2 linked regions of the Macaca fascicularis genome follow. The protein of the gene in region 2 purifies or fractionates together with the protein of the main gene of each other region. This does not show direct contact. Links are inferred from orthologs where the notes say so. Each region holds a gene or a part of one and is shown on either strand. Other genes may lie near its edges.

Region 1 (4,407 bases), on a different chromosome or scaffold from region 2:
GACGACTTCCACCGTGCAGGTAGGGCCCAGGGGAGGCTTTGGGGAGGCTTGGCCCCCCTGCTAGCTGGAAGACCTGGGGCCAATTCATCCCTGTCAGAGTCTGTTTCTTTATCTCCAAAGCCAGGGTGAGGGTTGAGCCAAGGTGAGAGCAAGACAGAGTGTGTATGTCATGCGTGGTGGTGTGTGCCTGTCGGCCCAGCTACTCAGGAGGCTGGGGAGGGAAGATTGCTTGAGGCTACAGTGAGCTGTGATTGTGCCACAGCACTCCAGCCTAGCGACAGAAGAGACCGTGTCTCTATTTTTTTCAAAAAAAGCATGTATTGGCCGAGCACGGTGACTCACGCCTGTAATCCCAGCACTTTGGGAGGCTGAGGTGGGCGGATCATGAGGTCAGGAGGTCGAGACCATCCTGGCTAACACAGTGAAACCCTGTCTCTACTAAAAATACAAAAAATTAGCCAGGCGTGGGGGCGGACACCTGTAGTCCCAGCTACTCGGGAAGCTGAGGCAAGAGAATGGCTTGAACCCAGGAGGCGGAGGTTGCAGTGAGCCGAGATCGCGCCACTGTACTCTAGCCTGGGCAACAGAGCGAGACCCCGTCTCAAAAAAAAAAAAGCATGTATTGAGTGCCGACTCTGTACAGTGGGTTGCAGTGGAAGTTGAGACAGAAGGGCCCTGTTACCATATCAGGCGTCTTGGTGGGCACTAGGGAAAGCATCCCCCCACCCCAAAACCTGGTCTCACCCAAGGGAGGCAGCCTGGAGCTCAGTCCATTGTGAAGTGGGCAGCCTTCCCTACTGTCCAGGAGCACTGCTTCCTGCCCTCCGAGAGCGCTACCTGGGTGTGTCGCCTGGGCGGGTGGGCTTCTGGAAGAAGGCCTGGGCAGTGAGAGGCACTGCCTAGGAAGAGGGTGGGAGGCACGTTGCTAGTGCTGCAGAGCATACACCGGGGCCTCGATTCCTCATCGTCCCGTAATCTGTGTGGGACCTCTCTGCATTTCCCGACATCTGTCTGAGTCCCACCCTCTCCCCTTCCTTTTACCCTGGCCCTTTCACCACCCAAGACGGTCCCAGTAACCCTTTTAGTATGAGCTTAGCAGGGCAGGGCTTCGTGGAAGCGTTTCTGGCAGGGGGATCGGCGATTGCAAAGGCCCTGAGGTCAGGGAGAGCCGGTGGTTTGGAGGAACTACAGGGAGGCCCAGGCAGCTGGAGCACAAGGAGACGGGGTGGAGAGGTCGGGAATCCCACCCTACCCCTTCCCAGCCCCTCCTCTGGCACCACCCTGGAACACTGCCAGAGTCCCCTTGAGGGGCCCCTGCCTCCACCCCCGCCTGATGGAGCTGCTCACAGGGCAGGCAGAAGGGTCCTGTCAGCACTTGAGGCCGCCCACATCCCTCCTCCGCTCAGAACCCTCCACAGCTCCCGTCTCACTGGGAGAAGAGCTGGAGTTCTCTCTGTGGCCCACAAAGCCCTTTAGGACCTGGCCTCGCTTACTCTCTGTCCTCAGCTTCCACCCTCTCCCCCTCCTCCAGTCACTCTGGCCTCTTACTGGCACCCACCTGCCATGCTGTACTTGGGAGTTTCCTTTGCCCAGAACTAGGGGGACCAACTGGTCCTAGTTTGCCCAGGACCTTCCCAGTTTTAACACTGAAAGTCCCATGGCCTGGGTAGCCCCTGTCCCAAGTCCTGGGAACAGCAGACAGTTGGTCACCCTCACAATCCCTCACCTCCTTGGGGTTGGTCACTGCTCCAGCGTCACCCACGGCATGGCCTTCCCTGCCCGCCTTGTGTAAAATAGAACCGTGGCTCAGCAGGGCCCTTTGCCCTTCTCTGCACTGCCTGATTCCATAGAACTCACAGCCTTCTGACTGGCTGGGCCTCTTCCTAATGTGTTTGTCTATGACCTGTTCCCTAGGCCCTCAATGTAAGTGCTGGGGCCTGGCACATGGCAGGTACTCGGTGATGTTCGATGAATGAACGAACAAATCAGTCGTGGGAATGAGTTTGGGCTTTACCTGAGCGGTGGAAGCCAGCGCAGGGACCAACACGATGGTTTTTTTTTGTTTTTTTTTTTTGAGACGGAGTCTCGCTCTGTCGCCCAGGCTGGAGTGCAGTGGCCGGATCTCAGCTCACTGCAAGCTCCGCCTCCCGGGTTTATGCCATTCTCCTGCCTCAGCCTCCCAAGTAGCTGGGACTACGGGCGCCCGCCACTCGCCCGGCTAGTTTTTTGTATTTTTTAGTAGAGACGGGGTTTCACCGTGTTCGCCAGGATGGTCTCGATCTTCGGACCTCGTGATCCGCCCATCTCGGCCTCCCAAAGTGCTGGGATTACAGGCTTGAGCCACCGCGCCCGGCCAACACGATGGTTTTAAAAGCTTCCCTTTGCCTTCGTGAAGGGGACAAGGATAGGACCTGGGGAAGCTGCAACCACCACCAGGTGGGAAGGGAGGCTGGTGACAGGATAGTAGAAAATACTGAGGAAACATGCACCCTCATTATTCATTCCCTCACTGGGCGGGATGTGTGGCACACCTGCTACGTGCCAGCACTCTCATGGGCACGGGGCACAGGTGGACAGAAATGACAACGCTGTGATTACTGCTGTGTTCCCGGCCCCAGTGACTGTGGGTGGCGCCAGGGGCGAGGCTGTGGGGCCCGGTTTCAGGCTGAGGGAGTCACTGGCTGCCTCCCGCCCCGCAGGCCTGCAGGTGGAGTTCATCAACCCCATCTTTGAGTTCTCGCGGGCCATGCGGCGGCTGGGCCTGGACGACGCTGAGTACGCCCTGCTCATCGCCATCAACATCTTCTCGGCCGACCGGCCCAACGTACAGGAGCCGGGCCGCGTGGAGGCGCTGCAGCAGCCCTACGTGGAGGCGCTGCTGTCCTACACGCGCATCAAGAGGCCACAGGTAGGGCCCCGCAGCGCCTCTGCGCAGAGCCAACTACGTCCCGCGGCCCACTTGGTCCATCCAGGCTGGGCTCTGCCTGGCTGCCGCCCCCTCCGGCAGTCTTTCCTCAGGCCCCACCCTGCTGGACTATGAGCCAGGTCTAGTCCAAGCACAGGGGCGGGCCCCACGCTGGCTCCCACGCCTGACCGGGGATGGTCCCTCCTTTCTGTTGGGGTGGGCCGCCCAGAGCCTGGCCGGGCAGGAACTCAGTGCCCACCTGCCTCCTCCCTCAGGACCAGCTGCGCTTCCCGCGCATGCTCATGAAGCTGGTGAGCCTGCGCACGCTGAGCTCCGTGCACTCGGAGCAGGTCTTCGCCCTGCGGCTACAGGACAAGAAGCTACCGCCTCTGCTGTCGGAGATCTGGGACGTCCACGAGTGAGGGGCCGGCCACCCAGCCCCACAGCCTTGCCTGACCACCCTCCAGCAGATAGACGCCGGCACCCCTTTCTCCTCCTCGGGTGGAAGGGGCCCTGGGCTGAGCCTGTAGACCTCCCAGCCCTCAGCCCTTGGGATGAGCCCCAGTCCGGGTCCAGGAGGCTCCCTCCCTGCCCACCAAGTCTTCCAGAAGGGGTGAAAGGGTTACAGGTCCCGACCGCTGACCCTTCCCGGCTGCCCTCCCTCCCCAGCTTACACCTCAAGCCCAGCACGCAGTGCACCTTGAACAGAGGGAGGGGAGGACCCATGGCTCTCCCCATAGGCGGGGAGACCAGGGGCCTTCCTCTTCCTCTGCTCCTTTTATTTAATAAAAACTAAAAACAAAAACAGGAAAATAAAATTATGAATACAATCCAGCCCAGAGCTGGAGTGCAAGATGGAGAGGGCGTGGGCTTCTAGGGACCTCAGTGACACCGGGTCCCTGAACCTGATTGAGCATGTGGGACGGGGCCTCCCCAGGCTGGTGGGAGGGGTGGCACATAGGGTCCCAGTGCTGGGTGGTGTGTCGCCTGCTGTGAAAGTTCAGAACAGGGGCCTGACAGCCTCAGGGTCACCTCCCTGGGCAAGGTGAATGAGAACTCGCCTTTGAAGGATAAACAGGACTTAAGTGGATGAGGGGAACTGGACTTTCGTCTCAATAACGAGTGTTTTCTGAGGCCTCCTGTGGGCCAGGCACTGGGTTGACCATTCTAGAGATGGAGACATTCACCCAGCAAATGTTTCCGGAGCATTTACTAGTCAGGCACAATTCTAGGCACTGGAAACATCCGTGAACAAGATAACCACCCTCCTACCAAGACTCGGGATAGGGACTTTAATGAGGGTGGCACTGTGGTGGGGCTAGAGGAAGTCAGGCAAGGTGTCACAACAGAGGCAATCGCTGGGACCTAAAACAAGAGCCCAGGGGCTGGGCCTCCAAGTTGAGGGAACAGCACGTGCAAAGTTTGAAAGGTGAGGGACACTGCGAGTTCGGAGTGAGCAAGCGACGAAGTTCCTCCAATTCCTCTTGCCCGTGTGCCAGCCC
Region 2 (4,545 bases):
TACAGGCATGAGCCACTGCGCCCGGCTTAGATCCATCCCTTTCTAAGGGCAAACAGTCCATGGTGCAAAGGGGCCATGCCACCCAGAGTTATGAGTACCTGGGACTCCAGAATTCCTTGCCTTGTGGCCTCCACGTGCACTTCCAGGGCCTGCTTGGGCCTCTTCTATGGGTCTGTCCTGAGTGTTGATAGAACCACTGATGTGGGTACCTGGGCTTGAGCTGTAGCCTGGAGATCCTGTTGACTGTAGCCTGGAGGGGGCTTGTGCAGCTGAGTGTCTGCATGCAGGTGGTGGGAGTTCTGGAATATAATGGAGCTGGAGGTGGGAAGAGAAGTAGGCTTGGGGCGCTCTCTCATGCCACCTCATTCTGACCAAAACTCAGGCCAAACTGTGAAGAGTCTAAACGTGAATCTACCCTTCAAGGTGGTTACAAAGGTATCTTTGTCAAGGCAGGAGACATTTAGTTTGTTGGCTTGATGGATGACTTAAATATTTAGACATATGGTGTGTAGGCCTGCATTCTTACTCTTGCCTTTTTTTTGGCCCCTCCAATGTTTTGGGTGGTTTTGCTCCCTACAGGCAAAGGCAAACAGAAGTTGGAGGTCTGGAGTGGCTACATAATTTTACACGACTGCAATTCTCTGGCTGCACTTTACAAATGTATACAAGCTAAATACAAGTCCTGTGTTTTTATCACAGGGAGGCTGATCAATATAATGAAAATTAAAAGGGGGCTGGTCCATATTGTTCTGTGTTTTTGTCTGTTTCTTTTTTTGTTTTTGTGGCCTCCTTCCTCTCAATTTATGAAGAGAAGCAGTAAGATGTTCCTCTCAGGTCCTCTGAGGGACCTGGGGAGCTCAGGCTGGGAATCTCTAAGGCAGTAGGCCGCTATCAAAAACTAAAGTCAAGGTTTGTTGTGGGGCGGGGGGGGAAGCAGCCGGTTACCCAGAGGACCAGCCTAGGTCTTTGAAAGGTACCAAAAGACAAAATGATTGGCGTCCTGAGGGGGATTCAGTATGGAGCTCGCTCTCCCCCAATCCCTCCCTCCGGCTGAGGAAACTAACAAAGGAAAAAAAGATTGCGGAAAGCACGATTTAGGGGAAGCAAATTCCACTGGTGCCCTTGGCTGCCGGGAACATGGACTAGAGAGTCTGCGGCGCAGCCCCGAGCCCAGCGCTTCCCGCGGGTCTTAGGCCGGCGGGCCCGGGCGGGGAGCGGGGGCGCAGACCGCGGACCCTGAGACACCTGATGCACCCTCCACCCCCACCCCCACCCCCACCCCACCCACCTCCTCCCAACTCCCTAGCAGCTTCGCGGGCGGCTGAACGTCGCCCGTTTAAGAGGCGGGCCGCGGCTCCACGTGCTTTCTGCTGAGTGACTGAACTACATAAACAGAGGCCGGGAAGGGGGCGGGGAGGAAGGCGAGAACAGGCTTTGACCGATAGTAACCTCTGCGCTCCGGGCAGCCGAATCTATAAAAGGAACTAGTCTCGGCAAAAACCCCGTAATTGCGAGCGAGAGTGAGTGGGGCCGGGACCAGCATAGCCGAGCCGACCCTTCTCTCCCGGGTTGCGGCAGGGCAGGGCAGAGCAGGGCGGGGGGCTCTGCGCACCAACAGGACTAGTTCTCAGGGCGCTTTGCTCCTTGTTTTTTCCCCTCGTTCTGTTTTCTCCCCTTCTCCGGAAGGCTTGTCAAGGGGTAGGAGAAAGAGACGCAAACACAAAAGTGGAAAACAGGTAAGAGGCTCTCCAGTGACTTATTGGGCGTTATTGTTTTGTTGCGAGGCCAAGGAAGCTTCGGGAAGCTCTCGGTTTCGGGGACTTTGATCCGGAGCCCCGCATGCCCACCACTTGCAACCCAAATGGGACCCGGGGCGGCGTAAATGGGAAGAGGATGTCCTAGGACGAGCTCTGGCGACCCCAGGACTGCGCTGCTGCGCTCGGGACTCGCCCGGCGGTGGAGACTGGGGAGCATCTCTGGGCGTGGAGACCCGGGCGCAGTACCCCGGGCTCAGAGGGGTCGGGGGTGCCCGGGAATGCTGAGGTCGCTGCTGCCGGGTGGGGAGAGTTGCAGGTCCGGCACGGAGCGCTTCTTTGTTCGGAGGGGCCTGAGTTGGCTAGAAACCCCTCTGGTTGCGGGTCGGCCAGTACCTACGGAGACAAATGCCAGCACTGAGTTCTCACTCGGTTCTTAAGAAGCTGGTCTGTTCTGACCTGGGAATCTGCTGTATGCACCCCGGGACTGGAGCAGCGCGTCCTTTTTCCCGAGAACTCGAGTTGGAGGTGTCCCAAACGGGGTCCGTGGTGCTATTACTCACTAGAGGCCTTGGGGCTTTGTGACCTGAGGGGTAGGGAGGTCCTGCCTACAGTCTCGGTGCGCTCAGCCGAGCTGGTGTCCCTGGCGCAGAGCGCGGAACGAGTTTCTTTCTTTTCTTTTTTTCTTTGAGTCTTGCTCTGTCGCCCAGGCTGGAGTGCAATGGAGCGATCTCCGCTCACTGCAACCTCTGCCTCCCGGGTTCAAGCGGTTCTCCTGCCTCAGGCTCCTGAGTAGCTAGGATTACAGGCGCGTCACCACACCCAGCTAATTTTTGTATTTTTAGTAGAGACGAGGTTTCAACTTGATGGCCAGGCTGGTCTCGAACCCCGGACCTCAGGTGATCCACCGGTCTCGGCCTCCCAAAGTGCTGGGATTACGGGCGTGAGCCACCGCGCCTGGCCGAGTTTTGTTTCTTCTAAATACAAGACTTAGGAGAGCCTGCGGAAACCCGGAGGTGGGGTGCCCAATCCTCCCTCCCCCACGTTCCCTGCCGCCCCATCTTCCAGACCCTTGCCGTTGGTCTCTTGGGGCAGCTTCTGCCTGGGCGCAGATGGGGAAGCTGGGGCGAGGTGGTGCTGTGGAATGACCGGGAATAACCCCGGCGGGCGGCGCAGAACTCGGAGCTCCGCCGCGGGGCTGGGCTGGGCTCTGCCTTGAGGGTGGGGGTGCTGGGCGCGCGGGCTGCGGTGGCCCCCGGAGACTAGCCCGCAGCGCCTCCTGGCCGGAGGACCTAGGAATCGGCCGGCTGTACTAGGTGTCTGCTCGCTGTGAATCCGGTGAAGACCGGTGAGTGCAGATGGGGAGGAACTATGAGGTTGAGGCGAAAGCCCGTTTGGTTTTTTTGTTGTTGTTGTTAGCGTGTTTGCCAACTCCCAGGCCGCTGGTAAATAAGGAAGGTTCTTGGGGCGGCGGACGGTGCCAGGGTTGTGTGTAGGTGCCTCTTTAGGTATATCTTTTATCAAAAAGAAGGAAAGAAATAAGATTAAAAATAAGAAAATAAAGAAAAAATTGTATGCCACTGTCTGTAATTGGCCTGCCTTTGCAGCACTGATACCATTAGCTTTTAAAATCCGACTTTTCAATGACATCCCAAGAAGAGAATGGGTAGTATATACACATTCATCTCACAGTGGACAAAGTTCATATTTAAAAAAACTTTCTGGGTACTGAAATCAGCAAGTCACTTGTCCTCCATGGCTGAATCCCTGCTTCCCACGAAGAGAACCTCACAAAAATTTCCCCCGAGTTAAAGAGTGGAATTTTCTTGATTTTTTTTTTTTTCATTTTTTTAACGGTCATAGTTTAGAACCCAGACTTAAATTATGATCTTCTTTTCAAACAAAACTTAAAGTCCTTAAGTTTTCATCTCCCCTTTTATTTCAGCCTATTCTTCTCATACCTACCACAAAAATGATGGAGGCCTTCTGTTGAGAAACTTTCCATTTCTGTTGAGAATATCATTCTCTTGAGAAACTTTCTCCTAAATCAGAGAAAGTATGGAAGCATGGAAAGTATTCCTGAGTAGAACCTCTACAGATATTACAATATTTTTCAAATACAAAGTTTCCATTGTCAGCCTGTTTCCCCAGTGCTTCCACAAACCATTAAATCATTCCACAAACCATTAAAATAATTAATGCTAGGGAATTTTAGGAAAACATTGGATACACAGCATCTGCTTGAGAACCAACAGTATGATCAGACCCACCGGGGAAGAGGGTCTTCAGCGTTCATGATGACTATAAGCCATTTAAGGGACTAGAATTGCTACTGTTGTCAGAGCAGTTTAAGAGTCTGTATTTGAGCCACCTGCACAGTGTTCCAGAATGACATAGCTGACTGTAACCTGGACACCTGTGATATGTTGTCTCTTCTGCAGATGAGCATTTGAAATCTCCACCCTCATATTTCTATGAGTGCAGTCCTATAATGTACCCTGTACACGTTTTTTTTTTTTTTTTTTTTTTTTCTTTTGAGACGCAGTTTAGCTCTGTTGCCCAGACAGGAGTGCAGTGGCGTGATATCGGCTCACTGCAACCTCCACCTCCTGGGTTCAAGCGATTGAGTAGCTGGGAATACACGTGCACACCACCACGCCTGGCTAATTTTTGTGTTTTTAGTAGAGACAGGGTTTCACCATGTTGGCTAGGCTGGTCTCGAACTCCTGATCTCAAGTGATCCGACAGCCTCGGCCTGCCAAAGTGCTGGGATTGCAGGCATGAGCCACCA

Evidence for each region.
Region 1: the proteins of ABCA1 (region 2) and NR1H2 purify together in Homo sapiens (affinity purification with western blotting; 3 studies listed by BioGRID and IntAct, with this or other methods). This does not show direct contact. The link is inferred for Macaca fascicularis from reciprocal best matches to the Homo sapiens genes ABCA1 and NR1H2.

The regions. Positions count from the first base shown.
Region 1 is NC_088393.1:58,289,205-58,293,611, forward strand, and holds the end of NR1H2 (oxysterols receptor LXR-beta), read left to right. Parts: coding exon 1-19; intron 20-2,699; coding exon 2,700-2,908; intron 2,909-3,180; coding exon 3,181-3,327; 3' UTR 3,328-3,723; downstream 3,724-4,407. UniProt on the Homo sapiens protein: Nuclear receptor that exhibits a ligand-dependent transcriptional activation activity. Binds preferentially to double-stranded oligonucleotide direct repeats having the consensus half-site sequence 5'-AGGTCA-3' and 4-nt spacing (DR-4).
Region 2 is NC_088389.1:53,187,301-53,191,845, forward strand, and holds the start of ABCA1 (phospholipid-transporting ATPase ABCA1), read left to right. Parts: upstream 1-1,504; 5' UTR 1,505-1,736; intron 1,737-4,545. UniProt on the Homo sapiens protein: Catalyzes the translocation of specific phospholipids from the cytoplasmic to the extracellular/lumenal leaflet of membrane coupled to the hydrolysis of ATP.